Linked DNA regions of Rhinolophus ferrumequinum. The protein of the gene in region 1 purifies or fractionates together with the protein of each later gene. This does not show direct contact. Links are inferred from orthologs where the notes say so. Each region holds a gene or a part of one and is shown in the gene's direction. Other genes may lie near its edges.

Evidence for each region.
Region 2: the proteins of STAU1 (region 1) and G3BP2 purify together in Homo sapiens (affinity purification with mass spectrometry; 3 studies listed by BioGRID and IntAct, with this or other methods). This does not show direct contact. The link is inferred for Rhinolophus ferrumequinum from reciprocal best matches to the Homo sapiens genes STAU1 and G3BP2.

What each region holds. Positions count from the first base shown.
Region 1 is NC_046306.1:10,055,011-10,058,758, forward strand, and holds the start of STAU1 (double-stranded RNA-binding protein Staufen homolog 1), read left to right. Parts: upstream 1-1,267; 5' UTR 1,268-1,402; intron 1,403-3,748. UniProt on the Homo sapiens protein: Binds double-stranded RNA (regardless of the sequence) and tubulin.
Region 2 is NC_046288.1:32,119,518-32,123,265, reverse strand, and holds the start of G3BP2 (ras GTPase-activating protein-binding protein 2), read left to right. Parts: upstream 1-1,103; 5' UTR 1,104-1,261; intron 1,262-3,748. Other genes in the region: USO1 (general vesicular transport factor p115), read right to left, coding at 616-681.

The sequences.
Region 1 (3,748 bases):
ATTAATTGAGCCCTTCTGTGATCCTTCTCCTCGGTTTCCTAACCCTAGACTCCCTTTCAGCTTCATCTCGGTTGTTAAAGACGTTAAAGACCGTGTCCAATAGACTAGGAAGCTGAGGGAAAGGGGTCTGAGGTCCTAATTAAAATTTCTGGAGTTTTCTCCCGATGTCTGGAGCTGATTGTTCAATGAAATACATGGCTAGTATTGTGGCTCCATGGATCTAGGTTGGTATATTTTCTGAGGGCATCCACCAGGCAGGATTGAAAAAGGGCCAGATTCTCATTCCCGCCTTGAGTAATACTCTGTAGTTTACACGCTTATTTATACCTTTTTTCATCCCCTCAATTAGGTGACCATATGATCTCTCTGAAGCCTGTCTTGAGCTTGGAACTGGTAATCCAAATGATTACCAGCACGGTGATTTGGGACCGCCTCTGCCCCAACCGAATGTTGGTCTGGTTGGCGCGCTGCTAACTCATCTGCATATCACTGGGCTAAAGCCCAGATACAGTTCTTTTCTTCCACGATACAACAAGTGGTAAAAATAGTATGTATATCTTGCCAGGTAAGATCATATAAGATGGCTGCTAAAACCCGCTTCATTTATCTAGAGCTGGAAGAAATAGCAATCTGGCACTTCTTGCCTTTTAAGTCACTCTAAAAGTTACTTATTTTATTTTTGTGTGTGTTACCTAAGAACGTGAGCTCTATGAGGGCAGGGATTTTTGTCTCTTTACCACCATATTTTTAGCTCTTGGAGCAGGGCTTTGCACAGAGCAAGCGTTTAATAAACATTTACGGATGGAGGAATTGAGGGAAAGAGAAAAATGAGGAACCGAGGCGGGAGAAGGACGGAGAGGAAAACCGGAAGAACGAATGGGGAGTGAGGAAAGAAGAGAGGCCCAGTCCCGCTTCCCGCGGACGGGTCACACCTCCCAGCTGAACTACAACTCCCAGCAGGTCCCGGCGCCCAGGGCGGGCTAGGCGGCTCTAGAGAGACCAGGTCCCAGCCCACTAAGTTCCCGGCGTGCCTTGCGAGCGCAGGCGCCCGCCGGGACTTGTGGTCCGGGCCGCGGGCGGGGGGTGGGGCCGGGCATGGAGGCGGGCGGGGGCTGGGGGCGGGCAGAGGCCCCTCCCCCGTCACTTCCTGCGGGGCTGCGGGCGCCGGAGCGGCTCTTCAGGGTTTGCGCCCGCGGCGGCCGTGTCAGGTTCGGCTCCCCGCTTCCTCTGATCCCCGGCCCGGCGGCGCCCGCCTTCTCCGCGGCCACTCCGTCTCTTCCCTCCTGCCGTCCCTTCTCTTCCCTTCTTCCTTCCTCCTTCCCCTCCTCGCCGCCGACACCGCCGTCGCCGCCGCCGCCGCCCAGGACCGCCGGCCGGGGGACGAGCGCCGGGGAACAGCCAGGTGAGGCGGCCAGGCCCGGCCTGGCGGCGCCCGCGCGGGCGCCGCGGCCGCGGGGAGGTGGGCGGCGGGTGGGGCCTAGGCCTCGGCGGGCCCGCGCGCCGGGCCTCCTTCCCCGGGCCTCCCGCTCCGCCCGCGGGGCCTTCCCGGAGGAGGCGGGTCCTCCCGCGCCCCCCGCGTCGGGGCGCCCCGCGGCCTGGACCCCAGGCGCTCCCAGCCCTTCCACCTCTTATTGGGGCCAGAAACAGGTGCCACGCCGCCTTTCCTCATTCCTCCGGGCGCGCCGGGATGCCGAAGTTATTCCCGGGGCGGAGGCGGAGGGTCCCCGCTTCAAGTCCTTGAGACCCGGAGCACCTAAATCCCCCCAAGCAGGTCTGTAGCATAGTAGTTAGCGCACCACCCAGGTGTTCAACGCGGGTACAAATCCAGCTTCGTCCCCGTAGGCCAGTCACCTAAACTCTTTGTTGTGTTGGTTGGAAAAAGGGGCTAAGGCTGTCCCTGCCTCTTAAGGCTGTTAAGGTTCAGTGAATTGGGGCGTGTAAAGCGCTTATCAGAGTGCCAGACCCACAGCGTGTCCCAATAAACCGTCTGCATAATTTATTAGCGTGATATTAAGGTATAACTTAGTGGGTAGAGTGGACATAGGTTGACCTACCTCCCCGTTTGAGTTTCCGTAGAGGCAGAAATGTTCAGCGTGCCTACCGCCAGCGCCGGCTTATTGTTTTGGGTTGTTAATATCTGAAAGGGGTGTACGTTTAATTGGGACACTCTGTAAGTAGGCAGTCTGTGACAGATAGATGCTGTTCTTTCCATCTCCTCCGCTGATCCACCTGCAAGATTTTCACCAGCTCTCTCCGTGTGAGCAACCTGTCCATTTTTTTCTGCCATCATCCGGCTTCTTGTTGTCATTCCATTTCTGGGAAAGTTGCTGGCAGAAGCTTTCCTTGAGTTCAGCAAACCCTTCTGGAGCGCTTGCTGTGTGCCAGGCTCTGGAGGGGGGTGTACGAAGCTGGAAAATGTGTGTCCTTTCTTGCCTGCATCTCTAACTTCTAACTTTTTTTTCACTGCAGCTGTGCTTTTATTCCCTCCGTCCCTGTTGGCTGACTTTCCTTTTAAGCCCTTGCCCCACCTCCGTGTCGCAGTATTGCTTATGTGGAAGTTTTCTTCTGCTCGGCGAAGATGTGTGCTTCAGTCTGTTCTGCCTCTGTTCTCTGGCTGTGGGGACGTTTTTAAGGTCACTCTTCCCTTCTGCTTGTAGCTTTAATTGTTTAGAGGGTGGTGGAAAGAGAGTTAAACCAGATTCTTGGTTGTTTTTGGGTTTTCAAGAATCGGTGTGCTTACCAAATGTAAACTACTTTGCTGCTTGTTGAAATAAAAACTACAAATACAGTTGGATTGTAGAGCGAGCAGTTTCGGTCATCCTGGTGACAGGTAGGATTTATAAAACAGCAACTTTATTTAAGGATGCAGAGTTTCTTTTAATTCTGTACTTAGTTCTGTAGGTGTACCCTTCATTAAGAAAATATAACTCATGGTGGTTCAGATTTACAGAAAAGTAAGGAGTGTCTTTGCTCTACTGAATGATCCTCCTGTACGTTGGATTATTTTAGGTAATACATTTCCTCACTGAACTTTAACTGTTTTGATTTACCACCATCTCAATAACACTCGTGATGCAAACTGGTCTCCCTGTTACTGACATTTTCCTAGAATTTTCTGACACATAGTCTTACCATCGTTTCTAGTTTAAAATCTTTGGATGACTCTTTAAAAACACGTAAGCAAACAACTAAACAAGCAACAGAAGACAAAGCATGTCTTTTGCCATATGGAAAATTGTAGTGTTAAGGAAATGATGTTTTAATACTGTAGTAGATAACCTAATTAAAAAAACCTTTTTATTATGGAAAACATACAAAAATCGAATAGTATAGAGAATCCCCATGTATTGGTCACTCAGCTTTGATAAATATTAACTCATAGCTAGGGTCAGTTTTTCTTTCATGTAGTACTGCCTCCCCCAAACTGGGTTTTGAAACAAATCTGAAACATCATATAATTTTACCAGATTTTTCCAGACTGTTAATCTGTCACAAAATTTACTTGTAGTAGAATCACAGTTCTCATTTTGTTTGTTGGGCTTCTCATCATCTCTTTTGACATGGTTACTATACAGTAGAAAAAACAAACAAACAAAAAACCAGCCGAATTATTATAGCTCTTGATTCAGTGTTTACCCCCCTCAAAGTCATATCCAAAGTACTTCCTGACTTCTTTGTGTGCAGAAGCAACGTTCTTGAGCTATTAATGTCTATAATGGAAAAGCAATCAGAAATACAGATCCCTAAT
Region 2 (3,748 bases), on another chromosome or scaffold:
GTTTAAGCGCGAAACATCCCTACAACGTCCAGGTATTTCCCAAATGGCATATATTTTGAGTCCGAAACACGGGGTCTGATCTAGTAACACCTGGTAGAACGACCTTCCTCCAGCTGATGGGACAGGAGCAGGTGGCTTTCTGCCCCAAACTATCTTTTTATTCTTAGCCACATGCTCTCTTTAACAGCTGGGTTTTAAACCCAGTCTTCCCCAATTCCCCATTCCAGACCTCGAGAGAGGGAGCAAGGACTTCAGGCTCCTCTCGGCCAGTGGAGACACCGGCGAAAAGCAAGGAGGGAGAGGCCCGCGGCCTCGAGGGGCGTGTAAGATAGGTCGTGCCACCTCTGCCCTGGATCGATCCCTTCCCGGCGGTACCACCCACCGACCATCCTCCCGCGGCTGCTGTCCGCAGGGCCGAGCCGCCGCGGTGGGGGGCTGCGCTGGGGGCGTAAGGGAATAACTCGGGGGTTTCAGGAGAAGGGAGGCAAAAGGGGAGGCGGCATGTGGATCCCCGGCCCACCGTGGGGCGCGGGAGGTGACCTCCGGGACCCCGAGTCCTCCGTCCCCGTTCCTGCCCGGACCCTTCCCAAGTCCCAGATCCGCTGCTCCTCTCACCGTCTCGGCTTCTGTGTGCTGGGGTCCGGCACTCTGACCCCCCATCACCCCGCGAAGGAAATTCATCTTGCCGCTCAGCCACCGGCTCTACCAGCCACTTCAGAAAAGAAAACTTCCCCTGTCCTCCGCAGGGCCTGGCCCCAGACCAGCAAGCACTCTACGATCCCCGGGCACCGCCACCGCCGCCTCCTACTCGGCGGCCGCTCCAGCCCCCTGAGCCCGGAAACAGCGGCCACCAGCAGTCGAAATGCGCATGTGCGGGGGACGTGGCATTACGTGGCGGCTCGAAGGGCGAAGGCAAAGGGGTAAAGTAGGCGAAACAAGGCCGAGAGCACGGGTCCTCCCAAGCCCCGCCCACTACTCAGGCACCGCCTCCCTCCGCAGGCACCGCCTCCCTCCGCAGGGACCGCCTCCCTCCGCAGGGACACGCCTCCTACTCCCGCCCTTCGCAGGTCGCTGGGGCTGGCCCCAGCCACCCACGTGGTCGAAGCCCGGCCCTGCGGGCTGGAGAGCATCCCGACAGTGTACGTGTTTTGGCTTGCAGCGTGTTCAGTTGTTGCGGAGCGGGACGCACTGCAAGCTATCGTACCGGAGAGTCGAATTTTGTTGAGTCGAAACTGAAATTGTCCTTAGGCCGACGTGACAGGTAAGGGGTCCTGACCCTTGGCAGGGTTGGTTTGGTTTTTTGGTTTAGCAGTCCGAGCGCTGTGGCCTTCTGATCCCCGTAAATTGCATTTCTTTACAGGGCTTTGTTTGGTAGTAAAGAGGGTGCTAGAGCCCCCTCATTCTACTTCCACGGGAGGGCGCATTTCTCAGATCTTGCTCTTCAAACCTGCGAAAAGGAATTCCTAGATCTAAACACCAGGTACACCGCTATTTTTAAGTGGTGTGAGGAGAAAACCAAGCGAACCCTGCATTTAGCTTACTAGGGAAAATACATTGCTCTGCAGTGTCAGTTTGACAGCTAGTAGCATAATGTTTTGTTACTAACTTTCAATCTCTGCATTTTCAGCGGGTTTTCTTAGCATGAAAAATGTCCTTTTTTCATATCTGTATGCCTTGTTCGTTTCAGAATGAGTTGTCAGGTACACGTGCATGTGGAGTAGTCTTGTAAATTTCTTGAGTCTAAAAAGTGTACGGCCCAGTTACCCAACTGATTCATACACCTCCCCACTTAAATGTCCCACGGGTCTCAGATTCCCCAGCCTCCCTATAAAAAAAAAAAAATTCAGTATGCTTCCTATGCACAGTACCGCTAGCCAAATAATTGCCTAAACTAGAAGTAGAAAGCAGGAAAGACTTTTAAACTCTGGATTTCATCCCCGTATGTCTACTAGTCAAGTCCTATCATGTCTATTTATAGAATATAGTATTTCTCAAATAGGTCCTCAGCTTTCCCTCCTCTGTGCCTCTGAGATAATTTATGTTCTCATCATTTTTCACCAAGCTTATAGTAATAGTTTCCTAACTAGTTTGTCAGTATTCAAGCTCTGATTTCCCTCCATTCCTGTCTCCAGTCCACCCTTGGATGAGCCTTGCATCAGCAAATCATCTGCATGACAGTCCTCTTCTTAAAATCCTCCAGTGATAAAGTCCAAACTCCATAGTTTGGTATACAGGCCCATCATGTTCTGACTTCTGCCTATCTGTCCAGCTCCTCCTTCACATACTCTGGATATATGCCCTACCTCTCCTTCTTCATCAAGGAAACACCTGCTAGTTCCTTAAGACTTAACACTGGCATCTTCTGAAAACTTTCCCTGAAATACACACACACACACGCACACACACACACTAGTGCTTTTCAGTTAATATATGTGGTAAACTCTCAGTAAATGCTTGTTAAGTCAAACTGTTGAGGGCAGAATTATGTTACCCATTTTTGTACGTCTGTTGTTTAGCACTCTCATGAGAGGTGGTATTGATGCATAAATGAAGAAAACATTAAAGGATATATGAACATTATGCTGTGGAGGAGGGTCCTTTTTCCATCTCTAAGGTGAAATTGTGGATAATACATACTATCACAAAGGCTATGGTGAAAGTTCCTTTGCTAGTGCCAATGTTTTAAGCCTGGGTGTCTTGGATAATAGTGGGGATCATACTGCCAAAAATACTGTGCACTAAGCATTGTCCTCTGCTTTAAAACGAGACACTTGACATTTTGCATCAGACATTTTCCATGGGGGCATTTTGTTGCAGCCTAAAAAAAGTAACCAATAAATGCTCAGCTTTTTTATCACCAAGTAATGTGTGCAAAGAACTTGACCCAGTCCCTAAGCCTCACCCCTCCCTGAGCCTCTCCTCACCTCTATGTGCTTCACTCCACCCCATCATTAGGGATAAAGCTCTGAAATGCAGTGGGGCTCATGGATGTTTACATATATTATTTGGTAATAGAAAAAACAGTATCTTGACGTTTTAGCAAAATTGTTTTAATGCACTGGCCTGTTTTAAATGCCCGGCTTGGTTTTAAATTTTGGTGAGTATAGTAAGTCACTGTGAGTTTTCCCTTCATTTGACCTGTTTTCTTCCCGAATAGCATCCACTGGGCAGGAAGGACAATGGGCAGGAGGGATGGATATTTGGGTGCAGAGGAGCTGAAGGTTGAATCCCCATACTTCCCCCTGACCTTGCCTGTCTTGCCCTTCTGGTGTCTGGGAAAGGGTGGAGCAGCCTATTCTAGGCTCAAGAGAGGGTACAGTGGCTGATTTGTCTCTCAGTTGGGGTCTAAAAGGGGAGCAGAGGCATCATCACTATGGAACAGCCATGAAATAGACTCCTTATTTAAGAAAAAAGGGCCTCCATGTGAATGCACTTCTGCTGATTTTATAGAGAAAAGTCAGGGACCATGTCCTGTTCCTATTTGTACTCTAATCATCTAGCGTAATTCCTTTAACATGATAGATGGTCAAGAACCATTTCTTAAGTAAAGATAGAGAAAACATGAAAAAACTGTGACTGTCTGACTTAGGCCATTGTACTTCTGACTTTCATAAATCTAAACACTTACCGTGTTTCCCCGAAAATAAGACCTAACCGGAAAATGAGCCCCCGCATGATTTTTCAGGATGACATCCCCTGAACATAAGCCCTACTGCCTCTTTGGAGCAAAAATTAATGTGAGACCCCA